Linked DNA regions of Oryctolagus cuniculus. The protein of the gene in region 2 purifies or fractionates together with the protein of the main gene of each other region. This does not show direct contact. Links are inferred from orthologs where the notes say so. Each region holds a gene or a part of one and is shown on either strand. Other genes may lie near its edges.

Region 1 (10,229 bases), on a different chromosome or scaffold from region 2:
GTCCTACAGAAGATGTAATCTTCTACAGACTAAATGATTTGCACATGCTTAAGTTACAAGTTCTTTAAATTATGTTTCCTTACTCTCCTGCCCATCAAGTATTCTTTTTGTCTTGCTGGGGTGGTAAACTCAGGGTGTTTATGAGGCCATAGTTAGGGCTGGCTTATGTATTTTTGGACTGGTAAGATTCCGTGTCAGTTAGCAAATGGCCAGAGGGAAAACAGACAAGGCAACTGGTTCAATGTAACTTATCATCTCTACTACAACAACAACACTATCCGGGGAAGTGCAGACACAACTTTAGTACACAGAAGTGTACCCAATTAATGCAAACATCAACGAAGGTGATTTTTAGGTCCCTTCTAACAGAAGAGACATTTCCTTAATAGTCTGTTTTCTCTTCAACATTAAACGCCAAATGAACAACTGCCTTCAGAATGAGAATTTTGAAACTCAGAATTCAGAAGCAAACAGGCTAAGCAGCAAGAAGTTGAAAGGAACATCGACCTGCTCTAAGAAAGCTAAATTTTCAAAAACCATAATTTAGGAGCCGATGCTGTGGCATAGCAGGTAAAGCTGCCACCGCAGTGCCAGCATCCCAAATGGGCACCAGTTGGAGTCCCAGGTGCTCCACACCCTATCCAGCTCTCTGCTATGCCTGGTAAAGCAGTGGAAGATGGCCCAAGCCCTTGGGTCCCTGCACCTGAGTGGGAGACCCGGAAGAAGCTCCTGGCTCCTGGCTGTGGACTGGCATAGCTCCGGCAGTTGCGGCCAACTGGGGAGTGAACCAGCGGATGGAAGACCCTCCCCCTCACCCCCCGCCTCTCCTTCTCTCTGTGTGTAACTCTTTTCAAATAAATAAATAAATCTTAAAAGAAAAAGCATAATTTAATCATTGACAGTCCTAACCCAGAGTTTAAATGGTAATACTATGAAACTCAATAAAGAAGACAGGAATAGATTGAAAAAAAATTTTTTTGATGGAGAGTAAAATAAGGTCACTCAGTCACCACCTGTAACAGAAGATTACAGATGCTGAGCCACTGGCTGAGATGCCCAAGTACCTTGGGAGTGCCTGAGTTAGAGAACTAGCCTGCTTTCCATTCCAGTTTCCTGCTTATGAACACCTTGGGAGGCAGCTGTTTATGGCTCAAGTAATTGAGTCTCTGCCACTGGTATGGGAGACCTGGATTGAGTTTCAGGCTCCTGACCTTGGCCTGATTCAACCCTGGCTATTGTGGACATACAGGGGAGTGAACCAGCAGCTGGGAGTCGTCTTTCAAATTAACAAATTAAAAAAAAAAAAAAAAAAAGATTACCCTTAACATAAAGCATGAGAATACATCAACAGAAAAATGATTCTGTGACCTTGAATAGGATTAGATGATGTTGATATAATTTCAATACCCAGCTTAAAGACTGTGCTATTTGGAGGGTTTAAGCTGGGAGTTAAGTTTACTATTTTCTTCTTTCCTGCTTATCTGCTTAGTAAAAAAATTCCCAACTATAAATATATTAAACATATTTGAATTAAAAAACTCACAAAGCAATGTAATCCATGTAACCAAAGATAAATGACTCCTCTATTTAAAATGTTTTTGAGCTGTAATGATCAATTGGTTCAAAGTTGTGAGCAGTAAGAAAAACTTATTAAAAATCCTCTTGAACTACTGAAAAGGAAAAGCAAACATACCCTTTTAATATCAGTGATGGCACTCACTGAGCTGGGATACTTGAAATAATCAGCAAGCATGGCAATGAGGTGGTCAGTTATGCTAGCGATTCTCTGCAGCTCAACATCTGGCTCAATCAGATAGGCGAGTGTTTCAGCTCCTTCAACTCTCTCCTCTAGCAATCTCTCCTTACTGCACATTCGAACCAAACAAGGCAATGTCTGAAAGGCAGTGAGATCAGTTATTTGCTTTCTGGTAAAGGTAGAATCTTGAAGAGTATATTAAGACTGAATCAACTCAATGGCTTTCACTGGGAGTCATGTTTGTATTTCTTCTATTGATTCTCAATAATAAAAGATTTTTCAAAAAGCAAAAACAAAATTCAGTACAGATTAATCATCTGTGCTAGCACTCTAAACGACTCATACATTCAACTATATGAACAGAATCTCTTAGTTAGGCTTTTGTGATCAGTTCAGATTGCACCTTATCGAACAACCTTTTAAAAGACATTTAAGAATCCCTAACAGATCATATCTGATGGTTCTGCCCCATCTTTGTGTTTATTTACCTAAAAGAGATCCAGCAATTGAACCAGGAATGATTTTGCCCAAAAAGTATGGAATCTTTTCCTTAGTGAGTAATATGGTTGGGATGACTTTTTTAGTTTGAGAATTAGTATCTATAGTTGCAAAAACAAAACACAGCTTTAACAATTCAGTACTTTTACCATTTCTCATATTCCACATGTTATTCTAAAATGTGAGTGACATGCATTGATCACAGCTGCTAGGTTTTTCAAAGAACTTGCTGGAGTGATTACGGTATCCAATAATCCAATTTCTCTCCTGAGGTCCTTCAAACATCTTGGCACTAGTCCTGGTAATTTATCTATATTAGTTTCTGAATAACAACATCTCATGTATTTACTATTTTTAAGGCTTTAAGGAATAATGTGGAAGTAGATATTAAAATTTTACAACAGGAAGCTTTCCTCAACTACCACCATAATCTCTACCACAAAATTTAAACTTTATTTCTCACTATTGATTTCCTATTAGGCTAGTTCAGGTTTTACAACTCAATCTTAGCTTTGAAGGGGGAGGTCCTACTCTCTTGGTCCTAACATTCCTAGTTACTAATAATTATCAACACCATAAATTCATGTTTTACTGAATGTACTGCCCTCAAGTACATCATAAAGAAGATACTACCAACCCATTTTACCAACGAGGAAGAAAGGAGGGCTAAAGAAGTAAATAAGCCAGGCTCACTTGTATGAAAGACGTTAACACTCAATGCAGAGCTGCTTATTTAGGGAATTCCTTAAATCTCATTAAATGAACTGACTCTATCAGAGACTGAAGTGATCTTCTCAAGGCTCTCTTATCTTTTACCTTAACTCACATTCATAAAATGACACAAGATCAATGCATTTATACTTGTTTTGTTCTTTATAGCTATGAGACATCTTAATGTAAATTATTTAATTTATAGTTATCCTTATTATAACCCTAGGGGATAGCTGAGCAGGAATTACTGCCCACATTTTCATAATGAAGAATCTGGAGCCACCAAAAGAATTGGGCATCAAGCAGGTCAGTGGTGGCAGTGCTAAAACCAGAATCCTGGTCTCAGGACGTTTACGACTGGTCTCTTCTCCAGGTTTTCTCAGTTTAGACAGCATCTGACATACCACAATAATAATAATAATAGTTTTCAAGTCTATCTATTAAGTCTCACCACTGGCTCTGAGAGTGACATAGTCTTCATATGTAGAGCTAGTAAAGTGCCTACAAAACTGCACTTCAAACATAATGAAAATTATAGATTATAATATATTTTCTACTTCACTTGAATTTCATATACTTTCAGATTTCCGTTTTCTAATTATCATAAAATGAAAAAGTTGTGATAAGAAACAAATCATTTTGCTTTACTATTGAAAAACACATCGAAAATTAACTTTTAAAAACTGTAAAGCAAGCACATTTTATGCCATGTACACATCTATAATGATAAATACATAAAAAGTGAGAATGCTATTATACATACTCAATACTTATAGAACTGTAATTCCCATGTTTCCAGGGAGACTTCATTAGCTTACCTTTAACACAATACAGCTGTCATCTGTCCGAATTGCTCCTGCTCTACACATGTAAGTTAAACTGGAATAAGATGGCAAAAAGTAAGTTTTACCTTTGGCTTTAAAGTTTTAAAAAGAAAAATTATTTGCCTTTGAGATTTTATGAAAAATAAAACACAAAAAAACAAGTACTATCATTTTTTAAAAAAGATTTATTTATTAATTTGAAAGTCAGTTACAGAGAGAGAGGGAGAGAGAATCTTGATCTGCTGGTACACTCCCAAGATGGTCCCTATGGCCAGCACTAGACCAGGCTGAAGCCAGGAGCTTCTTTCAGGTCTCCCACTTGGGTAGCAGGGGCCAAAACAGTTCCATCCTCTGCTGCTTTTCCCAGGCCATTATCAGGGAGCTGGATCAGAAACGGAGCAGCTGGACAGACTGGCACTCACATGGTTTGCTGGTGTCGTATGCAGCAGCGTCACCCACTGTGTCACAATGTTGGTCCCTACTACCATGTATCTTGAGAGACATTTTGACCTTCCTTTACCTGAGGTTCAATTTAATAACTGAAGCAAAACCACACACATATAGATAGTAAGCCAGATACTAAAAACAAACAAAAAAACCTACCAAATTGTTTTAAAAATAGACGGCCTAATAAGTGCAGACATTTTGAAACTGTGCTAAGTACATGTGAGTTATGTTTTTCTCTGTTATTTTGTTTTAAATTTTCTATAATAAAAGAGGAGGAAATATTAAAAAGTTAACAAAACATCTCAGTTTATAAATGAAGTTGAGATAGTCTAACTCCAATACAGTAGAAGTAGCACAAAAGACCCACTTAACTTGTAACACAACTATTCATCAAAAACTAATTATTCTGGAATGGGTATTTAGCCTATTGGTTAAGATACTCATAAGTGCCTAAGTTTGATGCCAGTCTCTGACTCATGACGTCAGTTTTCTACTAATGCAGACCCTGAGAGGCAGTGATCATGGCTCAAATAACTGGGTTCCTGACACCCACATGGAAGACCTGGATTGACTTCTCTGGCTCCTGGCTTTAGGCCCTGCCTTGGGCATTATGGGTATTTGGGAAATAAACCAGTAGAAGGCAGTCCCAGGGCAAAAAGTAAAACATTCTATGTTTGGCTTTTAGAGAAAACTATACACAAATCAGGAAAATTCTTTTATACTTATTTTGTAGAAGGTTGAAATCTTTGTAGCTGTTACTTTTCATGAGTAATTCACTGAAAATCCTAATTCTCTATTAAAGAGCCACAGCTTCACTTAGCATAGAACCATACATATGCTCAACATACCCGTAATTACCTCTATTGGTAATTGCAGAATGAACACACACTGGATGCTTACATGAGATAGGAATTATGCTAATTTTACACTATTATCATACAAAATATCACATATCTAAGATTCTGTTTGCTGTTCTTTTAAGAGATAAAAAAAGTCTCCTTCTCAGAAATCATCCCCCATGTCCCATTGGGGCCAACGCTGTGGCATATCAGGTAAAGCTACTGCCTGCAGTGCCAGAATCCCATATGGGTGCCGGTTAGAGTCCTGGCTGCTCCACTTCTAATCCAGCTCTCTGCTATGGCCTGGGAAAGCAGAAGAAGATGGCCCAAGTGCTTGGGCCCCTGCACCCACATGGGAGACCCGGAAGAAGCTCCTGGCTCCAGATCGGTGCAGCTCTGGCCATTGCAGCCATTTGGGGAATAAAGCAGGGGATAGAAGACCTCTCTTTATCTCTCTCTCTGCCTCTGCCTTTCAAATAAATTAATTAATTTTTAAAAAAATCACTCCCTGGTTATCATCTTTAATTAATTCTCTCTACATTTGTCTATATTTTCATTTTTGTGGTTTGATACTAGGATAATGTGCATTAATTGTATCTATTTCAATTTTGTATCATCTCAACTGAAATACAAAGACAGGGAAGGACATTAAAGTAATTTTCTGTAGATGGGTCTTCGATATATATGAGAGTTCCTGTCCTGCATACTATGAGTAATAAACTGAATGTTAAAAACTGACCTCTAAAGTGGCATTTGGCACAGTGGTTAAGACGCCACTTGAGATACCTGCATCCCAGTATTTGAGTGCCTGGGTTCTCTAGTCCTGGCTCTGCTTGATTCCTGCTACTGCACTCCCTGGAAGGCAGCAGGTGATGGCCCAAATACTTGGCTTCCTCTCCTCACACTAGAGATGTGGACTGAGTTCCAGGCCCCTGGCTTCCTCCACCTGGCTCAGTCCTGGGGAGTGAACCAGTGGACAGAAGATCTCTCTGCCTATCTCTGTTTCTCTGCCTTTCAAATAAAATTTTAAAAATGACTTTCATTTAGCAAAATGTGGCATGACTTTCAATTTTCAAAATCCCAAAGCAAGAGGGACTGAAACTGTCCAAAAATACTCTAAGAGATGGATAAAGCACTTTTCTCCCACATTGTCTTGACTTTTACCATTTTGCCGATGTGAGCTGCATCTCAATAGGCTTATCCCTCTGTAACATCTTCACAAAAATCTGTGGCAATAATTCTCCATCAACCAAAACTAGAAGCAAACAAACAAAAGGATTAAGAAACTTATTTAAATTCATAAAGTTCATAAATTAAATTTTATAGATGTACTGAAAGTTTCAGCCTACCATTCACCAGGGTCATCGATACCTGGGGGTTTTCAAAAGCTAAAACGGAGAAGCATTTCAGTGCTTGCATTCGAACCTGTAAAAATCAAAGAACAAATAGTGCATTTATTTTAATGGCTCAGAATCTAAACTCTTCTCCTGAAAAAATAACTATTTAAATCTGCTTAAAATACTAAAAGGAAGCCTCAAAGGAATGGCAATAATATTTGCATGATTTGAAGAGTACTGTGAAAGTCAGAATTAATTATAGAAAAATTAAAATCAATTTTGAAGTAATAGAACAATAATGAGGAAGCAGCAGCAATTAAAACTGAACTAGATAAGTCCCTAATCAAACCTGTAAGAACACTGTACAAAATACAGCGTTGTAAGACAAAGGGAACTTCAAAAAATTACCAAGAGCCTTTCAAGTGGGACATTGCTTCCTTCCTAATTACAAGACTGAAGGGAAGGCAAAACTAGAGCAGGTATATGAGATGGAGATGGGGACAAAAAAAAACAAGGCAGAGGAAACAATGTTACAACAAAAGTTTGAAAAGGACTAAATTAATTTACCAATAGAACACCTAGCAATTATGTTACCCTTTCTTAAAACTAGGTTACTGGTTTGGAATACTATCAAGGGCCTTGTTTCCTGATCACATAAACACATTTTATTGTTTGCAGGGGCTCCTATGAGAACTCTTATTTTTTATTCTTTCCATTCATTTTTTACCACATGATCTCATCCTCACTTCCAAAGCCAGAGTCTACAGGCACTGTTCTCATGTAGAACCTGGGGCTGGCAGGCACTCCCCAGACAAGCAGCAGGGGAGTGAAGCAGCACACTCCCTCTCCTGGGGAATGCTCTGCAGGACTGGCACAGACCACAGGCAGAAATGAGAGCATGTTAATGACACCATAGCGGTGGAACAATCCTAGCCGAAGAGCAGCGTTACCAGACACTGTCCCTTCTACAACTTGTAAGTTTCAAGTTATTAGAGTAGATAAGGAAGTCTAAAGCGCGGGGGGGGGGGGGGGGGGGGGGATGGAAGGAGAGCAGGGAGAATTAAGGAAGCTGGAGTATGGACAAGTAAAGGGACAATAAATAGCCGACCACACGACTGCTTTTTGATGTGCAAGGGCTAACTGGTTTTATCCTCTGTGTAGCAGAGAGAAGCAGCAGCTCTCAGTAATTTTCTTTCCCTGCCTCTGGATAGTTTCAAGCTGGCTCCACCCATTCCTATCCTTATGAACCTATTACCAAGACTAAATTCTGGATGTCTAAGACAGGGAAAACATACATATGAGCAGGTTCTATTTGAAATAAAGTTAAGCATAAAAAGAACAATAGTTGAGGATCATCAGTGCAAATACACAGAAAATAAAAATGACTGCTTCCCTGATCTACAGGTAACTTCTGCCATACCCAAATCTAATGTGATATAATAAAGACAATGTTCCAATATTTGCTACAACATTCTAACTAGACAACAATGAATGCTTAAAATTTTAACTCAATGACTGATAACATTATGTTTACTTTTTATAAAGTCTGAAAATTCTTTGACTTTTCAAATAAAAATATAAGAACACATTTTAAAAACATTTTAAGGCTGGTGCCGCAGCTCAATAGGCTAATCCTCCACCTTGCGGCACCGGCACACCGGGTTCTAGTCCTGGTTGGGGCGCCAGATTCTGTCCCGGTTGCCCCTCTTCCAGGCCAGCTCTCTGCTGTGGCCTGGGAGTGCAGTGGAGGATGGCCCAAGTGCTTGGGCCCTGCACCCGCATGGGAGACCAGGAGAGGCATCTGGCTCCCGGCTTCGGATCAGCACGGTGTGCCGGCAGCAGCACGCCAGCCGCAGCGGCCATTGGAGGGTGAACCAATGGTAAAGGAAGACCTTTCTGCCTGTCTCTCTCTCTCTCTCTCACTGTCCACTCTGCCTGTCAAAAAATAAATAAATAAATAAAAATAAAAAAACATTTTAAATATTGATGTGTATGTGGGTATAATCTGTGGGTTTGAGTCACTGTGGCTAGATAAAGATTTTAAATATGAAATCCAAAAATATGTTTTTCCTGATACAGCAGGTCATTGCATCTACACACTTAAAGGTATTATTTCAAATGTAGCTGCAGCACTGCTATCTAATCAGAAACACTGTAAAATAGCTAAAATCAAAAGCAATTCATACACAACCATATGCTAAAAAATGGACATGCAAGAGCAATTTATTTCCTAAAAGAGCATTCTATTGGTAAAATAATGTCCCATAACGTTTTACTGATAAACTACTACTCTTGGTCATAAGCTCTAGTAAAGAAGTGATAAAAACTCATATATATGGGCCTCTTTTTAGAAAACAAAGAATTATTTGGCCATATTTTTAACATCTCACCTTGTAGGATAGTGAGGTTAGTAGGTGAGCAATATTCTGAACTGCACCATGATTAAATAAAATTGTTTGATGATCTGGCCCCTGTAGGAAAAGAATACAACAATACATTAGGAAGAATAACGATTAACTTCAATAAAACTATATTTACTTTTTTTTTTAAAGATTTATTTATTTATTTGAAAGTCAGAGTTACACAGAGAGAGGACAAGCAGAGAGTCAGAGAGAGGAGGTGGGGGTAGGTAGGTCTTCCATCTGCTGGGTCACTCCTCAACTGGCTGCAACGGCTGGAGCTGCGCCGATCTGAAGCCAGGAGCCAGAAGCCTCTTCCAGGTCTCCCATGTGGGTGCAGAGGCTCAAAGACTTAGGCCATCTTCTGCTTTCCCAGGCCATAGCAGAGAGCTGGACTGGTAGTGGAGCAGCCGGGTCTCGAACCGGTGCCCATATGGGATGCCAGCACTTTGGGCCTGGGCATTAACTCGTTGCGCCACAGCACCAGCCCCAAACCTATATTTACTTAAAAGTAGAAAGCTACATTTACTCCAGTGTAGAATTATGAGTTACCTTTTGCTTCTATTACTCAATCCTAAAAAGTGGGGTAGACACTGATTTTAGTCCTACAAATAGCTGCCACATCACACTTCATCCCAGTTCTAGAATTGCTACCTCCTATGCCTCTGAAGAAAAGAGAAGAAGCTATCCTTGGCACTAGCTCTTTGTGGTTGTTAAATACACTAAATACACAGTAGCACAGCATCCAAGGCCTCTATGAAGCCTGCATTTTATGTGCTCATGGTTGGCACAGTTATTCTTACATCTTAGTACTGATGAGACAGTCAAGGAGAACCCTAAAACTAACTGCAAGAGGAACTGAGTCAGAGCCTAGTCTACCTCAGCACACTTGGGACATCTCAGTAACGTCATGTTGGGCAACACAACACTCCATAATGGAGAAGTTAACAGTATTTTGGTTCCTATATTTCTTCTCTTTTATCATTTTTAAAATTATCATTTCCCAGAGTAGAAATGTAAAGGGAGAAGAAAAAAAATTTATTTTTCATCTACTCTGTTTTCTACTAAAGATCTTCAAAGTGGCAGAAGCTAACAGTTACTGCAAAGCCACAATTCTTATTCATTCATTTTATGCTCCACTTCACCCCATGAATTAATGAAAGGTCAATTAAGCCAAGACAAGGAAGGTGTTTTGTGCTCATTGTTTAAAAGAGAAAAACAAAACCAAAAGGTGGGCTCTCTGCTGGGTTTGCAGAGGAAACCAGTTGCTAGTCCAGAAAAAGCACTGTCAAACAGGTCTCGCCAACTCATTATTTAGCCAGACAACAACTTTTGCGCAAATGCTTACTCTATTTCTAGAGTCCAAATCCCCATCACTTAAGTGGGGAGATGAGCATCCAGGCTTCTGAATAACAAAA
Region 2 (10,329 bases):
CTTCTGAATGAGCCATTCACTCAAAATAGATACATTTTAAACTTAGGAAATTCCTTGAAAGTCACTTTCAGAAACTTCTTTGGAACTACCTTTAATGTCTAAAATGATCTTGCAAATCTTTCTCTGTATCTTCCAAAGCATACTTTAAAGCATGTTCTGAAACCATTATTAAATTGTTTCAGCCTAACCTTTTACCAAGTATCAATTCAGCAACACATAATATACAATGCATTTGTTACCCCTGCCAGAACCCCTAGTTGGAACCAAAAAACAAACATTTTCTCAATAGAAAGAAAATGCTGAAAAACATACAAATAAGTCAGATCACCAAACCGTCACCACACAAAGTGAGGTTCCCATATCACTGCTGTGAACGATGATCAAATCTGGTAACGAACTATCATCTCAATAGTTATTTAGCTATGAGGTTATTACTAGTTTACTGTAACTAAGCAAACCAAATTTATAACTCCACAAAGGTCCTTCCCAGAGAGAGAATAAGTCTACTAAAACAAAACCATTAATCCATGTACATGTGTGAGTGGCGCTTGAGAAGCACCAGTGCACTATCCAAATTAAATCAGGGGCACACTAGCAACCATCACACCCAGTCTCAACCCTATTGAATCTTAAATTAAACCAGACTTCATGCTCAAAAGGAAACTCTGCTTCTTGGAAGACTGGTACAACTAAATGACAAAAGTATTCTCTCCCCTCAGAGCTGGAGACATTAAAAGAACCCAAAGTTCAATAAAAACAATTAAGACTCAAAGCTCAATACAATTCCAGAATGCAAGTCAGGTTTTAAAATGGCACACTGGGGATGGGATTTGGTGCAGTGCTGAGACACTGTCTGGGATGCCCACATCCCATATCGGAGTGCTGGGTGCTGGTCCCAGTTCTGAGTCCAGCTGCAGCTTCCTGCAAGTCACACCCTGGGAGGCTACAGGTGATGGCTCAAGTACTTGGGTCCCTGAATTTTGAGCTTCTGGCATCAGCCTGATTCTGCCCTGGCTACTGTAGGCAATTCTGGGGAATGAATCAGTGGGTGGAAGATGAATCTCTGTGTATGTAAGCCTTTCAAACAAATAAGTGTAAAAATGTTTTTACAGGGTATACCACACTGCCGTCCCACAGCAATATCTCAGCAAACCCTCTGCATGCCATGAACAGTTCTCCATCCCTGCTACTACGGGCCAGGCTCTGGATCAGTCCATCCTCCTAAGGCAGCCACAAGGCAAGAGAAGGCCCTGGCGGGGGTTCCAGGAAGAGGAGTGATCAGGCCCCAGCAGGGCTCCTCTTGACTCTTCTCTGGAGCTCTGTATCGCTTTACTGCCTTTTCCTGCTTCTCAGACTTCTGTTAGCCCTACTGCAAATACCCTGGAAAGCAACACTCCCTCCCCAAAGCCTGCCCTTCCCTCTCAGAGCCATAATACTCCAGTATTACTCCTCTGCCGCAGGCCTTTACCCCATGGAGCACAAACCACCCCACCAGGTGTTAGGTAACCACCCTACATCCTCATTCCCCTAAAGGATTTGGAGAAATTTTACATGAAAGGATTCCAGGCTACAGAGAGATGACTTAGAGCGACTGAGAAGTGTCGGGGTTCACTGCAGGACTGTCTCCAGGCCAGTTGGACCCCACTGGCCCGTGTTTTCTACAGGGAATAAGAGTGGAAGATAATGCTCCCATCCTCCCTCCAAACTATCCTAACATGCTTATCACAGCGCTCACAACTTTAGAGGGGCAAACATCTAAATAGAAGAATACACAATTCATTCTCTCAGAAACCGAAGCGATCCCCTCGCCCCCACTGAAGGATCTTTCTGAAACCCACAGCCCCTCAGCAGGATGAGGTCCTAGAGAGGATCCTGGGGGATCTGGGATCTGCAAAACCCCCAGGGTTCTGCTTGATTTACATCACACAATTCCTGCAAGGAGGGTCCCAACCAGGGACCCTTCCTCAGGTCAGAGGAGCCCACCAGACCACCTGCCCAGACAGAGACGTTCGGACACCCTGCAACTGTCCTTTTAAACTTGAACATGGAATTCCAAAATCGGTCTTCAGCACAGACACCTCTGAGGAGGGTACATATAAGGCTGAAGGTGGTAGCCACCACCCTTGCCTGCAGAGAACTTTAATTCAGAAACGATCTGCTTTGAAAAATACCATAACCCAGATACCAAAGCATGCTGTCATCTCACAAAAGAACACCAAAAGTTAGATTTTATTTTAGAAACCAGACCTAGTATCTGAGGCATTTGTTTTAACATTTTAGAATGACCTTTAATCAAACCTATTCTTACAGAATTAAAGGAAATCAGAGATACCAACACAAGACAGGCAATTTGGAAGACAAGAGGGTTAAAAAAAAAAAAAAAAAAAACGGCTGACCATGGAAAGAAACAGAACTCAACAGCATGGCATGCAAGCAGCTCACACCCCACACCCCACCAACTCTCAGGTCCCCAGGAGCAAGCAAAGCTGTCTAAAGCGAATTCTTCATTATCACTTTATCCACCTGGGACTGACCCGAGATCACCTAAAACCAAGTTCACAGTCACTTCTGCTTCCACTAACAGCTCCCTCTTCCCGGAACCCAGGGTCTTCGTCTCCCATCATTTCCGGTCTAACACTTCATCTCCCACCGGCACCTCTGAGTCCAGGCGCTTCATTCATTCTCTTCCTCCGCTGGTTCCTCCCTTTCAGCCCGTAACAAGAACCACACTTCCTCTGGGAGGGGCCTCCCACCAGCCTGGCAGAGAGGAACACTTCAGTGTACACATGCTTCCTCCACTGAACCTCCGCTGACCCGGCTCTACCAAACTCCACGCACGGAGGCCCACTGACCCCCAGTGCCCAAACCCGCGCACGCTCTGCCTTGACCCTCCACTCTCCAAGGAGAGTCCAAGGTGAGGCTCAGACCCCGCCACCTTCCTCCCTCCTCTTAGGGACATCAGGAGAGTCTTGGACCTGCACATCTCCCAAGCCTCTGACTTGCCTTTGTGAAGCCCTTCAACTTCAGCGGGCAGACTCGGGACCCCCTGATTGCCACGCCACGCCGCCTGGCTTCCCCATTCCTGCCAACTCGACCATCACCACCAAGGCGGCCACCAAGGCCTGCTTGGGTTTCCACAGCAGAACTGGAACTCTTGCTACGGTCTTTTCCATATTAATATTTTAATCACTACGGTTGCAGGGCTGCTTCTTTCCTGGACTTCAAAAATGACTGCTGTGTCCACAGTGAGAAGCCGAGGACTCTCCCTCCACTGAAACTCAAGCCTGGGAAAGGGAGGCGTAGAAGAACGCAGAGGAGGGAAGCCGGGGCTTCCTCACCGCCCTGGTCTCACCTGCCACAAATACCTGCCTTTCTGCCCCCTCCCAGCCCTGCTCGGGGGAGAGGGCCGCTCCCCAGCCTCCCGAGCAAGCCCATTCAATAGCCAGCCCTTCCCTTCTCCATCAGCAAGAATCAGCCCTGCGACTCTCCGCGTCGAAGGACACCAGGCCGTTAACGCTCCTGGTAAAACCAAAACCCCAAGCCCCTTCCAGACCAGCTTCCAAAAGTTAGCTCTGGCAAACCAGGCGTCCCCATGGGGCCTGGGGTCACAGTGCAATCAATCATCTAGACACAGCACGGAGCCGAACTGTACAAACCCGAGCCGGCAACGCGGGCAGCTCCCCACTCCACCGTGCGCCTGCTCCCTGGGCCTCGGGAGAGGCTGCACCGGAGGGCGGCAGAGTCGGAAGTCGCCGGAGCGGCTGTCCCAGTAACCCACCGCCAAGAATAACGCTCGACTCCCCTGCTCCCACCCCCCACCCCCTAAAAAAGGCCAGGAAAGAAAAGTGCCGCGGCCAAAGATCTGGGTCCGGTAGACCAAGGGGCTTCCCATACCGACCCCCCAGTCCCTCGGACTCTCGGGGACAGCCCGCGCGGCCACGTGAGCCCCCCGGGGCCGGGGGCCGGGGGAGCCCGGCAGTTTGCAGGTGCGGCGGAGGCCGCCCACCCACGCTTCCAGCCCGCCCGACCCGGCTCTCATTCCGGGGTCGCGGCAGAGTCGAGGTGAACCGAGAAACAAGAGCAGCAAAGTCCCGGTGCTGGGCATCCCTGCGCCCCCCGCAGCCGGGCCGGGCCTGAGCCTGAGGGTGGGTGAGGGGCTCCGCCGCGAGGCTGGCTGGGCCCTGCCCCGCGCGCCCACCCGCGCCGCCCTACCGTGGCTCTGCAGGATCTCGTGCTTGAGGCCACCCGTGTAGTCGATGAGCTCCTCCAGGCCGCGCTCGCACAGCTGCCCGTAGCCGGAGAACTTGTGCAGCACCTTCTCCAGCTCGCGCTCCACCGTCACGCACTGATCCATGCCGGAGGCGGCGGCGCTCGGCTCGCCGGCGCCTGGCAGTCCGCAGCCGTCCGGCCCGGGCCCCGCCGAGGCCGCGTCCCGCTCCTCGTCCCCCAGGCAGGCGGCCGAGACGGCGGGCGCGCTAGCCGCGGCGCCGGGGGAGCCCCGCGCAGCCCGCGCCCGCCTGCCCCATGGCCCCCGGGTCCCCCAGGCGCGTCGCCGCCGCCGCTGCCGCCCGCTCGCCCGCTCGGACCGCCGCTCGCCGCGTTCGGCTGCCCGCGGCGGCGCCGCCGATTGTTTTTGTTTTCACGGGAACCGACCGATGACCTGGTTCTCCCGGGCGACACCAAGCGCCGCCGACTGCGGGGGGGGGGGATCAGCCACCCCAGCTAGGGAGAGAGGCGGCGCGGGCCGTACCAAGCGCACCCTCGGGGGAGGGAGAATAAGCCTGGAGAGCGTGGGCGGAGGAGCGCGACGAGTGTCCGCTCACGCCGCCGCTAATAAAGGTGTGGGCCGGACCACGCAGACAAGCGGGCGAGAGCGAGGGCGAGGGCTAGGGCGAGGCAAGAACCCAATTGGTCTGAGGAGCTAAATAGAGAACTTTAGACACAGCCCCTACGCGCAGGGAGCGCTACAACTACGCGCTCCGTAAACAAGGGGGTGGAAACCGTTCCTAACCACCCCGCCCAGAAACGAGGAAAACCAGCCAATGGGGCTCGGGGACTATGTAAGAAGTCAGCTTCCTCCAATCTCTGACCGGGGCGTAAGCCTTCAGCCAATCCAGGACGGGGGTCCAAACCAATAGGCTCGCTGTTGGAGGGGGAGACTTGGAGACAGGAGCGAGTGAGGCCAATCGTTTCCGGAAAGCCATAGGGGGTTGGGATGTATGTGTGTGTGTGTGTGTGTGGGAATAGGACGAAAATAAAAACGGTCGTTTTCCGTAGGGCCTCGTCCCAGCCACAGTTCTTGTTATAGCCTTGAAGGGAAAAGTGGGTCCGACGCTCCGAAGTTTTGAGTAGACGGGCCCATCTCCCCGGAAGGAAAGCGGAGTCGGGCCGCCCGGGCGGAGAGGCGCGGCGGGCGGGGGCGGTTCTCCCGGCGCGTACCCGCCGGCGCGCTCCCCACACCCCGCGGGGCGGCGACCTCTGGGCCCTGTCCTCTCCTGACCGGTGGGGACGAGAGCACGCGCCGGGGAGCTGGACTGCCCGCCGGAAGGGCGGCTTCGTCCCCGCACGCCCCTGCCCGCTGTGCGCCGCCGGCCTCGGCCTGTCTCGCCTGACGCCCCGAGCTGCGGCGCCGACCTTTGCGGCCTCGAGCGAGCGCAGCCGGCCGCGTGCCGCCGCCTCGGGCGGAGGACTCCGGCGCCCGGTTCGTCTTCGGGGCCTCCCGTGACCGCGCGGAGTCCCGCAGCCTTTGGCTTCCCGCGCGGCTCTGTCCTGTCACGACTTTGTCATGTTCGCGCCACTTAGCAACGTCCGCTGGGATTTGTTTGACTTTGTTGTCTGCACCACTTCAGAAAAACCGTGAAGGCTTTTTTTTTAATAGCCTTTTGAGTTTCAGTTTCCTTTATTTTTTTTTTAATAATTGGAGTTAATAGCACGTCATTGGTAGTTAGACTAGATAATACGCGTAAGTGCTTGCAATGGGCCGGTGATGGTGGCCGGCGGCCTTAGGGTAATCCAGCTGATGCTATTCTCATCTCTTCCTCCCCACCCACCCCGTTTCTGCCTTCTGCCCTCTTTTCTTAACAGATGGCCCTGATCCCTGTTTAACAGAAAAACACCCAACGCCAGGAATCTCCGTCACTCAGTATTTCTGTCTCCCATGGCTGTTGTGAACCTCAGACGCCCAAAGGAGCGAAAGTGCTTCCTCTCCGAGACAGCCCCTGGAGCCTGCGGGCTTCCTCGGACCCGGGGCCAGGTGCCCAGGTCTTGCCCCCTCCCCCGTTCTTCCTTCCTAAGGGCCGTGAGGGGAGCTGAGTTTCCCCCTCGATGTGTCTCTCTTCCTCCGTTCTTCCATGCTTGTTCCTCCCTTTGCTAAGCTCACTCACGTTTTGTTTTTTGTCTTCAAGGAGTTGTCATCACTGAAGGAAGTAGCCCCTGTGAGGAACTGAACATAATGCCCGGCACAGGTAAGAGCCATTGTTTCCTGTCCACTGATCGGTGTCTGGTTGCCTACAGCTTCGGGTCCTACCTCGGCCGGGCGCTTCGCCCCGTGTAGTGTCCCAGCACCACCTGCCACCTCCCTGCCAAGCTCCTTGTCGTTCCCCCTGGGGACTGAGGACAGCTCCTTCGCCTGTGTGCTCCTGAAATGCTTTTGGTTACTGTCGGCTTTTCAGAGCCTCTCTTTGTTCCCACGGCGTGAGTCCTGCTTTAACTATTGACACTTTTCTGTAACCTAGGCCCACCTATGCAGTACTGCCTTGTATACCCAAGTTGATTGTTAGCTCCCAGATCTGGGCCGGCTCCTTTTTCTTTGCCATAATTTAATCAGTCTAGGAAAAAATGTGTTCTGAGTATTTGCTAAAGGAATGAGAATAAACAAATTAGGGAAGAAGAGGCTTCAGCTTTAGCCAAGAGGAGAAAAAATAGTACTTGGAAGAAACTCTGATGTTCTGTTGACTTTGTACGGCCCTTCCTATGCGGTGTGTGGTTGCTTTAAGCCTAAACCTTTAATCCTCAGTGAAGGATCTCTAGAAACAAGGGGGGGAAAATTCCTTTTTTTTTTTTTTTTTTTTTGACAGGCAGAGTGGACAGTGAGAGAGAGAGACAGAGAGAAAGGTCTTCCCTTGCGGTTGGTTCACCCTCCAATGGCCGCCGCGGCCGGCGCACCGCGCTGATCCGAAGGCAGGAGCCAGGTACTTCTCCTGGTCTCCCATGGGGTGCAGGGCCCAAGCACCTGGGCCATCCTCCACTGCACTCCCTGGCCACAGCAGAGAGCTGGCCTGGAAGAGGGGCAACCGGGACAGAATCCGGCGCCCCGACCGGGACTAGAACCCGGTGTGCCGGCACCGCTAGGCGGAGGATTAGCCTAGTGAGCCGCGGCGCCGGCCGGGAAATTCCATTTTTAGGGCAACTGCAAATTGTTTTTTTCTGCTTGTATTTTCACTATGCAGCTAAAGTAAGAGTTCACCTACACACACACCAGTATCAAATGAACTCTCATCCCCACATTCTGCTTATTCTGGAGAGTCTAATTTGCCGTTATTCTGAACATTGCTCTCGTTCTCTCCTCCATTCTAAATTTGATTGTCTTTAGCATTTAAGTAAATGTTAATGAAAAAGAAAGGAAAAGAATACCTTTTATCCTTTTGCCAAAATTCATATTTGTTGTAGGAAAATTAGAGAATACAAATAAATAGAATAAAAGCTCCATGAAACCCCAAAACTCAGTAAAAAAATGTTTCAACACTTGGGGTGAATTTCCAGAACTTTTCCTGTGCACACACATATAGTCATTGTGCATTATTACCAAGTATAGCTCTCATTATATTTATTGTGTGAATATGTAGTCCACTGTTTTCCCTAACCCTCTGCCAAAAAGATTGCTTTTAAAACTGCTTTGATTTGTTCTTCAAAGCCTGAAATCAGGCAAGGCAGGAAAAACAAAATTTCATTTGTCAGTTAGAGGAGATAGAAGAAATACTGTGTCAAAAATATTTTTATGCAAAATACACTCAGATTAGGGTCACAAAGACCACACTAATAATTATTGGAAAAATAAATCAGCAAGAATTGTAAAGACCTTGTGGAAAAAACTGCTGGTGATTTCCTGGTTTTAAACTTTTTTTAGTATGTATATATGTATGTATGTATGTATTTGAAGAGGGAAAGAAAGAGATCTTTGACCCATTGGTTCATTCCCCAAATGCCCACTTCAGCTAGGGCTGGGCCAGGCTGAAGCCAGGAACCAAGAACTCTATGAGTCTCCATGGGCCTCACATTGAGTGGCAGCCGCCCAAGTGCTTGGGCCATGATCTGCTTTCCCAGGCACATTAGCGGGGAGCTATGGAAGCGGAGCATCTGGGTCTTGAACCTGCACTGATATGGGATGCCAGCGCTGCAGGCAGCACCTTAGCTTGCTGTACCACAACATCAGCCCCCAACCCCCAACCCAGTTTTATTCTAACTCAGGCCTAATATAAAAGTAAGGATAAACTGATAAGATATGTTATTAAGAAATGTTAAATTGTGAAAAAATATTCTCATTTAAAAAAATTTCATTATTTTCTGTTGAAAAACAAACCAACCCTTGGATATTGCTTCTGCCATGTCAAAGAAACAGGTGAAGGCACGGCCACCACCAAAATCTGTTGCTCTGAATGTGCTTTACCATTGTACCTCCTGTGTGCTGTGTTTTGGAGCATGTTGCCATTTAAATGCCTGTTTGCTGGCTGGATGGAGGGTACTTGCTAGCCATTATGACCTACTCTTAGGGACGGGACAGGCAGAGTTAACAACAGTGCGTTTCTTCTGTGTGCGTCACCCTTCTTTCGGCTCCACTGATGTCTGCAGAAGATAGTGTCTCCTGGGCAGCAAAGCTCTCCCCGTTGTAGCTGTCGCTACTTCGGGAAACCAGGGCCGTTCTGATCTAATTCCCAGCATTTAGCTCCTGGTAGACCTCTGAGAGGGTGCTACACAGGCATGGCCCTAGCACCCTGTTCTCAGCCTATAGAAGTATTTCTACCTCTGGAACCTCCCCGTCAGGTTTTACTGTCTGCATCTCTCTCTTGCTGCAGGCAGGATGTCTTTCTGTATTTTGCTTCCTGCTTCACCGGGTGTAGCAGGAAGGGTGCTAAACACTGTAACCTTGGAGTAACTCATTCAGCCCCTGCCAGCCTCAGTTTCCTTATCTGTACAATGAGAAACCTGGAATAGATGACCCTTAAGTTCCTTCCAGTTCTGAAATTACAGGGATGCCAGTGCTTATTAAGCAACATGTGAGGTGCTATGCTACCAAACAGAACTGGGCCGTGCCACTTCCCTGGTCTGAAATTTTTGAGTCTGAATCATGACTTCTTCATTATGGAAAAACAATAAATTTTTTATGCTCTGTTTATCCTTAATTGCTATTTATTGAGCACTTACTATGTGTTAGGTACTCTTCTTTAAATGTGTGATTATCTCAATCCTCAAAACAAACTTTTTTTAAAAAAAATTTATCTTTAATTTTTTAACAGATTCAATGTGGTATGTAGACACTATTTTAGGTTTTTAAATTTTTAAAAAATTTTTCTAAGGTGAACAAATATGTATTTCATATATACAGATTTAGGAGCATAGTAATATTTCCCACTCTACTCTCCCTCCTCTTTTCTTTCCCATTTCTTCCTTTAATTTTTATAATGATCTACTCTCAGTCTATTTTATACTCATAAGATTAACCCTACACTAAGTAAAGAATTCAACAAATAATAATAAGAAAAAAACACTGTTCCTCAGCAATAGAGACAAGGACTGTAAATAATCATTGAATCTCAAAATGTCAATTTCACCCCTATACATTACATTTTTTGGTACTCTATTAGAGTACACACATCAAAAAAAAACATATTGTCGTTCCCCGTCTTCGTGGAGGAACGACACAGGACCCTGCGCTGTTCTTTTGTCTGCTCGGCCCTCCCCGGATTTGCTGCTGGTTCTTCCCGGTTGGCTACCGTCACTTCCACCTCCGCGGAAGGGCGGTTCCCCCTGCCACTTTCCCCACTTCCGTGGGGGAGTGGCACACCACCGGCCGGCTCTCTCGGGGGGGCTGCACAGGTGTTCTTTCAGCTAGATGTTCCCTGGTGCATGTTGTCTCTCCTCCTTTATATTCCTCTTCCACCAATCCCAACTCTGCTACCCACACGCCGAGTACGCTGCTCTCCTCCAATCAGGAGCAGGTCCTGCAGCTTGTCAAGTTGGTGAAAGGCAGCTGTGTAGAAGCTGTTTCCTCCTCTCCCAGCGCCATATTGTGGGAGAGCAGATGCATAGAATAAGTCTTAATTCCAGTAACTT
Region 3 (10,229 bases), on a different chromosome or scaffold from region 2:
AAACCAAACAAAGAAGTGCTTCACTACTTTATGGAATGGAACACACGTAAGAAATGAACACACATTTCTGATCCATTTTAGACCTCCCAGTCAGTAAGCACTCCCCAACATGTCACCTACACACACAGACTCGTGCTCAACCGAGCAGGGAACTCTGCAGCTAATCATCACACTGGATCCAGAGCTCGGGAGTCTGGGATCCAGGGTGCTGCGCGCAGCCCAGAGGCAGGGCTACCCGTGCAGTGTCAGGATGGACCCAGTGTCTCACGAGTGTCACCAAGAGGCAGGGGCCAGTCTCTAAAACCACATGAAGAGGGGCCGGCGCTGTGCCATGGTAGGCTAGGCATCCATCTGTATGCTGCCAGCTCGAATCCCGGCTGCTCCTCTTCTGATCCAGCTCCCTGCTCGTGGTCTAGGAAAGCAGCGGAGGATGGCCCAGGTGCTTGGGCCCCTGCACCCACGTGGGAGATCTGGAGGAAGCTCCTGGCTTCAGATCGGCTCAGCTCCAGCCATTATGGCCATTTGGGGAAGTGGACCAGAGGATAGAAAACCTCTCTGTCTCTCCCTCTCTCTATAACTCTGCCTCTCAAGTAAATAAGTAAATCTTAAAATAAAAATTAAAAAATAAAACCACACTAAGCAAAATTAACAAAGAAAAAGAGAGAAGGTAGTAACTGCCTCTCAGGCTGTTTTAACTGACATATAACAGAGGTGGAGTAAAGTGTTCCTGGAAGCTAAGAGAGGCTAAATGATTCCAATAGAAACACAGATTATTATAACACATTATAATAATCAAAATAACTATCCTGGTTTTAGAAAAGAATTGTGCTATACATCTTGAGTGACAACTATCACGTCACTGCTCAGCAGTGTGAGTGGAAATCCAGAGTAACACAACTCCCTGCTGTGAAGATGACGGCGGCTGACACTGTGCTTGTTTGCTTTCCACAGGTTAACACACGGATTCACCCTGCACAGTGACCTAAGAGGCAGTTATTATACCCATTTTACAGATGAAGATGCTGAGGCACAGATCAGGTTAAGTGATCTGTCCAAGGTCACAGAGCTAGTAAGTGGAGTTGCAGACACCACTGCAGGTCATCTGCTCTAGAGCTCCTGCTCTCGATGACTCCGCTTAAACTGCCCTGAAGAAGCCGAAGTTGCTGATCTCTCACTGAAAAATGAGGTGAGGCTGCTTTTCAAATAATTTTGGTAAATAAACACCTTTTAATTTCAAAATGCCAAGAAATTCATATTTTCATGGAATTCCAACAAGCAATTTGTAGGTTTCAATAAATTTTCATTATTTTCTGGAAGTTTGCTGAAAGACTTTAAGGCGCAGTTTACTACATAATTTGTCTACAAAATACAAGTTTGCATGCTAGTCTATCTCTGAGTCCTGTGTATTTTTTCTCTGCTGGGGGAGGTCATACGTCAGCACCTAATATACCACACACAGTACTGGGCAGTCACTCATGTTTGCAGTGAACGAGTTAGGAACTGTTTAACAATTTAACTAGAATTTAACAAAAAGTTTAGTAATTTTGAATTTGCAAAATCATTTGACCCACTTGGCCTTACTGACTATATTGAAGTAAGTGTAACAAATTTATCTCTGACCTTAAAACCCTTAAGGCTCAACAGTGATTAGTACAGCTTCATTAAGCATAACCCTAAAATTAAGCCTGAACAGCCAATTCAACAAAGAAAACTGGCACTTGACTTCAGAAGAAATTCAAAAATAACTACTCTCTCTAGCTGAGAGAGTTCCAGTAATATGTATTACTGTCAACACTACTGCACACACATCACTAAATTTGGTTTATGCTCATCAGTACAAGTAAAAACATAACCTTGTAGCCATCATTTTTATTAAAAATGTAAGAAATATCACTGCAGACCCATTTCGGTGTCACAATCTTCCATTTCGTGGTCATGTTTAGAGCTACCATTTAGGAAACCATTGGATGAAGTCTCTCCAACTCCATTGGAGTAGTGATCTGTTTCCATGTCTACATCATTACTGAAAATGAAAAAACAAACCTAGTTTTAGAAAGATCATACTTGCAGCTTGGTGTAAGACAAATTACTTCTCAACTACTTAACCTACGTATAAACTAACTTCACAAGGCAATAGCAATCTGCAAAAAAGGTATGTAGTTACATCTCAAGTGTACTCAAAGCCAGATCCACAGCCGACGCTTACCAAGCCTGCACCTCCTGGAGCTAAGGAGGAAGACACGCGCTAACTGTGTGGTGGTTTTTGACTTGACACCAACAGGAGAGGGAACACTCTGGCACAACAGGCCTATCCCTGCTAACTATCAGGACTGCCGCCCCAGAGCCTGTTGGGCCAGCCTCGCCCTCCCCCAACACCTAAGTGTCAAATCTCACTCCTAAACACAAACAGATCTCACTCCTGAAGCCCACCTCACCTCCTCCCTGCCTTCATTTCAACCTGTGTCTGGACCTTTTTTTTTCTTAAAGTCTTCCCACGCTGGCACTTGTGCTCACTACTTCCAAGCATACCTTCTCTCCCAGTACACACGCTTCAGCACTGCCGCGGCCTCAGCCTCTCCCCCACCTCAGCACGCAACACCTGCCCCTCATAGGGCCCTGGAGGTGATGCTCAGCGCGGGTCGCCTCGCGTCACCTCCACTCTTCACTCACTGCGCACTGAGGAGGAGGATCAGTCTGCCACCTGCTCTGTCTGGACCTCTTTTCCATGTGAGTCCTTCCAAACCATCCACACACTCTTTTAAGGAACAATAAACACCTAATCTTTCTCATTTCCTCCAATGAACTAGGCAATGAGCACACAACCCAGACGTAAACAATTATGAAAATTTCAGAATTGTTTAAATAAAACAAGCTTTCTTGTTACAAAGAATATAAATTTGTTTTTTAAAAAAGTGATACAGATATAACCACTAGTTGACATCTTGGGATAAGGGTGTGCATATGGGCTGCGTGCATGCATGTGCTCCTGTTGGTAAAATCTTTAAGATAAACAGATGTAGAGATCTGGGCAGGAGGCGGCGAGGGCCCTGGTGCTCCACACCAGACCTAGTCAGAAGAGCTCATTAAATATCTCGACAAACGTTGACAATTCATAAGAAAAACTTTAAAAAGAATGCTTAATTTAATGATAAATCCTTATCATCATGGCTTTCAGTGGTTTTAATAAGGTAGTAAGCTCCCAACCCTTTTTATCGGACAATTCTGTTTTATATTTGTGAGATATTCACTCATTCAACACACATCTCAGAGCTCTAGGTCAGGTGAGGAATTTGTGAAACCCCCTGCCCTCTGGCACAAACAGCTACAGAAAGCCACATTTTATCGCAGCATAATCTGATCAGGACTGCGTTCAGAGTCAATCGCAAGGAGTGATACCACGTTTGGAGGGTGTAAAGTCGAGGAGAATGTTCTGGAAGAGGTGACACCTGAACTGGAGTTTTGCAGTTTAAACAGAGGTGACGATGGAGGTGAGAAGAGCATTTCAGATGGTGGAAGTACAAGGGAAAATGCACAGGTTTGCAAGTCAGAAATCCTGGGAAGAAATCCCAGCTCTGCAACTCAATGACCTACTAATGACTCAACTTTAAAAAATGCCATTTGTTTTCTGGTATTCAGCTCCACATCTGTAAAATGGTTTCAGCAGTTAATCCCACCTTCGCCTGCTTCACAATACACGACACGGCAATGAAAGCCACTACCAGCTACGAAACAACTGTCACCATTTCCCAGTTCCAAAGCTGACTCCTTCCCCTTCTGTCCTGGCACAGGGAGGCTGCTATGTCATCAACTCCTGTTAGGCCTGGTAATCACAGATTTATGGAGCAACTTTCTGCCATAGCAGCAAGAGAGAATTCACAAATTGAGGGCATTCCTCACATCAAACAAGGGTAGAATCCACTATCAATGGTAAAGTGCCAACTATAAAGTACAGAGACTAACTTCTAATGTTCACACTCCTAGTTTTTTACTACAGATTTTAATGTCACATTTCCCAATGTCAGCTCTACTGTGAAAGGTAACACTGACCTCCCCAGTAAAAATGAGTCTCTTTTCACGCTGTCCCAGGCTCCTCCTGTGGCACTCCAGTGGAACCCATTCCTTTTGTAAATTTTTGTCATGTGTGATTGATAACCCAGAAATCTTGAATAGTCTCTAAATTTTCAAATCTGGATTGTTTTTGCACAGACTCCTTTCTGTAGAATCATCCTTCCACTAAAATTCCACACTGAGGGGTCAGGGCTGGGGCACAGCATGCCATATGCCGCGCAAGTCCCGGCTGCTGCTCTTCCGATCCAGCTCTCTGCTAATGCACCTGGGACGGCAGCAGAAGATGGCCCACGTGTTTGGGACCCTGCCAGCCACATGGGAGACCCAGATGAGTTCCAGGCTCCTGGCTTCGACCTGGCCTAGCCTTGGCAGTTGCCACCATTTCAGGTGTGAAACAGCAGGTGGAAGATCTCTTTCTCTTTTACTCCTTTTCTCTCTGCAACTCTGTATTTCAAATAAATAAAGAAATCTTAAAAACAATTCCACACTAAAAGTTAGGTTATTTATACTTCAGTGAGAAAACGGCACACTGAAACACTCCCCGAGAATGCTGTGTGACCACTGGTTCATCTTACAGGGTCAAACTGACTCAGAGGCTGGCTGACTGCGCCAGCCGAATGGAGACCTTCTCTTGCACAGGAGGGTTCAATTTAAATGACGACACGTCACGGACTTCCAGGCTTCATGAGTCCTAAGCCCGAGTCTGTCAGGGCCCAGAGCACACTGAGACGGATCTGCTCTCCAAGCTCCTGGCAGGCAGCAGGTCCTCACTCTCCTCATGCTAAAGGCTGCTCGACAGCCCAGTCACGTGCCATCACGCAAGCTACGGAATGACACGCTTTCTGAAAGGGTTCTCCGTGAAGTGATTCTGAATTCAGCGCATTCTATACATCAAAAAACCGTTAACACTAGAGGTTAAATAGGTGTGAATCAGCACGCTGAACTTGAAAACAACAAACGGCACTGGCGACCACCTATACAGATCTGCGGTTGGCGGGAAGACGAGGCAGAGAGCCCTTGATTTGTCCTTACAGCTTAAGAGGGCGGCAGAGGAAGGAGGAGGAGCACCTGGAAGACTGACCGCTCTGGGGAACGGAGTCCCTGCCCTTCATGTTCTCTAGGAGCTTGGGAACTCCCAGACCCCAAGTCTAGATCACAGGATTGAGATCCATTCTGAATTATGAACAATGACGACACCAAAGCTAGGATGCAAGAGCAGGGGAAGTCACGTACCTGGTGAAGTTATTAAGTTGTTGTGACCTTGACATATTTATACTGTTCAGTTCCGGGACATTCAAACTGGATGACTGGTGTTTACTGTGGCAATACGACTGATGTGCTTTATTTGATAGGACACCATTACTACAACTTTCAAAACCTGAAAAAATGAGAAAAATATTACATAGAAAAAAAGACTAGATAATTTCCTCATATTCTGGTTTTTCATTTCAGACTTTCAAAATGTCAGAGGCACTAGACAACTCAAATAGCAAACAGATTACGTCTTCGAGAAGACACTAGAGCACTGAATTGTGAACTGTAATTATTACCTCCTCTAACATTTATTGAAGACTTAATTATGGATCGCATTTAATCTTCACAGTGGCCCTCTGAGGGCAGCAGTCCTGTGTCTCTTAATGACAGGGATACGTTCTGAGCAAACATGGAAACGTTATCATCCTGAACCCTGTAGCAAGTGTAACACAAAGTTAGGCGTGTGTGTGTCTGAGCGCGGCAAAGGTGCAGCACAAACACTTCATGGCACCGTCTCAGCTCCGTCACGGTCTTAGGGGCCACCGCTGCATCTACCCTCCGTCTTGACGGCAGGTCTGTGACATGTGACTTGTCGCCACCATGCTCATTTTACATAGGAACACACGGGGGCTCGGAATTCCCCCCAGCCTGAAGTGAGCGCACGCTAGCTATTCCAGATGGGTGCAGCTAAGCACACAGGCACGGGAATCACCCTCAGCATGCAGGCTGCTGGTGTGTGTACCCTACCGACTGGGAGAAAAAAGTCTGACTTGCTTCAGCAAATGAACAGTACAGAGCAAACCCAGAATGGAACAGCCACGCGAGGAGAAAGGAAACTGAGAAGGATCAGAATAAACCTGCACAAGGGGTCTCACGGAAGCCACGGAACGAGAACGTTTTAATTAAGAGGACATCGAAAGCCACAAAAAGCAAGACTGATGGAGTGAAAGAAACCAGGAGATAATGGACAGGGCGCGGGGCAGACCCGCAACAGTCTGGGTGGGGAGAGCCCGGAGAGGCTGAGAAGCTGCCAGCCGGCTCTGGTTCAGTGGCAGGGAATGACCCGAATCACAGGCGGGTCACCTGCACGTGTGAACGTTCATAAAACCCAAGACTGCCTTCGCATGACGCAGCACGCAGGATTCCGTGTAGGGACAACTCACTCGGAGCGTCGCCCTCGTTATGAAGATCTGCTAATAAGCTATTCTCAGAAAGAGCTGTCTCTTAAGTGAATTCCTGGTACTGGGAACACATGAGTCTGAACCTTCAGGTCTTCACCTACAACTTCTTGAGATCAAGCACACACAAATGCAAAACAGCTACACAAAAAATGTCAGAAAAAAACACAACGTTGGTTCAAAATAATAAAAGGTAAAAATTTAAAGGGAACATTGTAAGATTCAATCTCACCAGAAAAATGTGCAGTACTTCCTTTGCCTGATGCTAAACTGTGGATATTCATTCCGTGGTTGGGGCTCACACTTGGACTACTAAAGGGTCGAGGACTGACAGGGTAACTGTCTTGAGATTTTGGACTTCGGCCTCCCAAACACCGTACTTCACTATCCGTGCCATTCACCATTTCTATAAACTGACGCACTCTGAAAGAGAAAGAAACTCACTCAGACATAATCTTCCAATGGCCTTTAGTTTATTCATTAACAACAGATTTCTCAAAGTACTGAAAACATCTGTACTGTCAATAAGTTTGGTCATTAGATAACAAGTTAAAACTCATATTAGACTGTTTAAAATTTTCCAGAAAAAATGCCTGAACATAATGCAAGAGAGAGTAATATCATCTCCTTTAATGAAGTTTTAATAAAAACCTTTCAAGAAAGTTAAAATCTACCCATATCTATAATAAAATTAAAACAGATCCATTTCTTGCCTAAAAGTGACAAACACAACATTATCTGTGGAGCAGACAGCTAGTCTAGCGGTGAAGATCCCGGTACCCCCCAACAGAGCGCCGCGGTCTGAGTTCCAGCCCCAGTTCCCAAAACAGCTTCCGGGGAGGCAGGCAGCTGTGATGAGGAGCAGCTGGGTCCCTGCCACCCATGTGGGAGACCCGAGTTGTGTTCCTGGCTCCCACCTGGGGCCAGCGCAAGCATTTGGGGAATAAACCAGCAGATAGGGAGCTCGTCTGCTCTCTGCCTCTCAACCTCTCAAATTTAAAAAAAAAGTGTGTGAGGGGAGGGGCGGGTGTTAGCAAATCAACCAATGCCTAAGAGGACGATTTCCTGCACACTACATCCACACAGCACCGCCTTCTCACTCTTCCTCACCCCATTCCCATTCCCAATCTCAACCAAAATGACTGAACTCATGTAAACGTACTCATTTAAACCAGACAGTTCTGTTATGAATTACAAGAATTTCTGAGTTGAAATTTGAAGCTCAATTAACATGATTAAAAACAAAGATTCAGTCAATCAATAAAAAAATGCCACAATGGGTTGACTATTACCAAAAAACCCACAAAAACGCAGCCAAGCGTTGGCGAGGATATGGAGAAACTGGAGCTCCGGCGCGTGGCGGGCGGAAGCTAAACCGCTGCAGCGCTGAGGAAAACACTGGGGCAGCTCCTCACAGTGAGAACGTCACCAGGAGCCCCAGCGCCGCCTCTTCCGAGCACACACCGGAACTGAAAGCAGGGCTGCCACGGGCGTTGCACCCAGCACGCTCACAGCAGAACAGTCACGAGAGCCAAGAGGCAGAAGGCAGAAGGGATACAAGTTGTCATCCGTCAAAGGACGAAGACCGAACCAAACCCAGCATATACGTACAGCGGACTGTTACCCAGCCTTTTTTTTTTTTTTTTTTTTTTTTTTTGGCAGGCAGAGTGGACAGTGAGAGAGAGAGACAGAGAGAAAGGTCTTCCTTTTGCCATTGGTTCACCCTCCCATGGCCGCCACGGCCGGCGCACCGCGCTGATCCAAAGCCAGGAGCCAGGTGCTTCTCCTGGTCTCCCATGGGGTGCAGGGCCCAAGCACTTGGGCCATCCTCCACTGCACTCCCTGGCCACAGCAGAGAGCTGGCCTGGAAGAGGGGCAATCGGGACAGAATCCGGCACCCCGACCGGGACTAGAACCCGGGATGCCGGCGCCGCAAGGCGGAGGATTAGCCTAGTGAGCCGCAGCGCCGGCCATCAAGCCTTTTTAAACAGAAGGAAATTCTGACACATCCACACCATGGATGTGTTGAGGACACTACCCTAAGTGAACAAGCACACAAAATGACACACAAGGTATGATTCTACTCACATGAGCCACCTAGAATTGTCCAATTTAGAGACACAAAGTGGAATGTGCTTGTCAAGGGCTGAGGAGAGGGGGATGGGGAGTTCTGCTCTGGGGTACAGTTCCAGGTCACACCCAGCACAGGATGCCTTCTGCTTACTGTTCTTACCACTTCCCCTTCTGTTACAACCTGACAGTCACATGCGCTACGTCACAACTCTGTAAATATCTGAACCAAGGTAGAATTATAAGCTATGAAGCCATCAAAGTGACTTTAATTATAACATCTATGTAATAAGACACACATACAATAAATATTTTATTGAACTCACTTTAATGTGAAAAGGAGATTAGGATTTCTTTCAAGTAAACTTGGGTACAACTGTTGTGTCGTTTCAATGGCTTCTCCCATTCTTCCTGCTAACACCAATTTCTGAATTCCTATTCAGAAAAAGCAAAAAATTAACTTTCATAAAAGTAGAAACAAACTTAGTAGATCCTCAGAAAATATGAGTCAGTAAAAAAACTTCAACATAAATTACTGGATTTAATTTCTATTTCTTTTTCTAAAATCATAGATTTCATTAGGAAATCTGGAAAAATTTCAGGTGTATTTAAAAAATTCTAACAAGTACCACAAACCATTTTTTTTTTAAATCACAAACATACAAATAACACAGGAAACACAGCTAATAAGCAACACTAAGGTTTCAAACAATAAATCCAGTACATTTCTAATTCTTCTAGGAAGATCTCAACTTGACACCCCTGGAGCACTCACTGTGTGTCAGATGTTTGTTAAATTAGATGGTGAGGCTACAAATGAGTAAGTGACCACCTCTGTTCCACAGAGCACGTTAAGGTAGTGAGAAAGACAAGTACGCAATTAGCTACAAAACGATGTGATCAATGCTATTAGAGCAATCTGACCCAGTAACAAGCTGTCTTCCAGCCATCATGATTTCACCCACCCCTACACCTCTGTCAAGTGACACCCACCCTCATGGGCTCACAGCACGGATTCAGGATGAGTCACTCTGGGCCAGGCATCACGCAGACTCGCCCTTGCTACAACAGGCCTTCCAGCTTTGGCTACAAAGGCCAGCACTAGAACCTACAATAAATACTCTGTGATCAGTAATTTAAATCTGAAGATATCTAATCTCTTTCACACATTATCTGCATTCTTCAACCAGGATGACTTTACTCTTCACCCAAACCCTTTTTATTAAGTGTTGATTTTCTGATAGCTTAAGCCTTTAAGAAAAATACTATAATGACATTTCTCCAAAATTTCTCTCCACATTTATAACTTAGTCCTACGTGAATTTAAAAAACAATCTTTTAAAATGTCAATGAAAGTAAATTGTAGAGGCATTCTCTGAAATCAATACATCTGAACATTTCCAAATTTAAAAAAATAAAACTTCTAAAAATTAAAGAAAACCTATAATCTGCAAACAATTGTTAGCCATGCACCAGGGTCCTTACTTTGTCTGTTCTTAATGGAAGCTAATTCTTCTAGAACAGTCTGGTCTGTAGATCTGGCAAAGGCCTCTGCTGTGGCACAGTACCCATGGTGGACTAGATAGGACGAAACCATTCTTAACATAAAAGAAGAAACACACGTCTTTTAGTCAACAGAATACACACTTCATTCTATGA

Evidence for each region. Proteins that work in one complex are often made in the same cells at the same time.
Region 1: the proteins of RMND5A (region 2) and ARMC8 purify together in Homo sapiens (affinity purification with mass spectrometry; 5 studies listed by BioGRID and IntAct, counting the BioPlex papers as one, with this or other methods). This does not show direct contact. The link is inferred for Oryctolagus cuniculus from reciprocal best matches to the Homo sapiens genes RMND5A and ARMC8.
Region 3: the proteins of RMND5A (region 2) and RANBP9 purify together in Homo sapiens (affinity purification with mass spectrometry; 9 studies listed by BioGRID and IntAct, counting the BioPlex papers as one, with this or other methods). This does not show direct contact. The link is inferred for Oryctolagus cuniculus from reciprocal best matches to the Homo sapiens genes RMND5A and RANBP9.

What each region holds. Positions count from the first base shown.
Region 1 is NC_091435.1:143,471,929-143,482,157, forward strand, and holds part of ARMC8 (armadillo repeat-containing protein 8), read right to left. Parts: intron 8,884-10,229; coding exon 8,803-8,883; intron 6,501-8,802; coding exon 6,425-6,500; intron 6,331-6,424; coding exon 6,240-6,330; intron 3,845-6,239; coding exon 3,784-3,844; intron 1,895-3,783; coding exon 1,694-1,894; intron 1-1,693. UniProt on the Homo sapiens protein: Component of the CTLH E3 ubiquitin-protein ligase complex that selectively accepts ubiquitin from UBE2H and mediates ubiquitination and subsequent proteasomal degradation of the transcription factor HBP1.
Region 2 is NC_091433.1:116,046,078-116,056,406, forward strand, and holds the start of RMND5A (E3 ubiquitin-protein transferase RMND5A), read right to left. Parts: upstream 4,970-10,329; 5' UTR 4,355-4,969; coding exon 4,213-4,354; intron 1-4,212.
Region 3 is NC_091436.1:156,999,959-157,010,187, reverse strand, and holds part of RANBP9 (ran-binding protein 9), read right to left. Parts: intron 10,169-10,229; coding exon 10,056-10,168; intron 9,006-10,055; coding exon 8,897-9,005; intron 6,924-8,896; coding exon 6,733-6,923; intron 5,447-6,732; coding exon 5,302-5,446; intron 2,024-5,301; coding exon 1,902-2,023; intron 1-1,901. UniProt on the Homo sapiens protein: May act as scaffolding protein, and as adapter protein to couple membrane receptors to intracellular signaling pathways. Acts as a mediator of cell spreading and actin cytoskeleton rearrangement.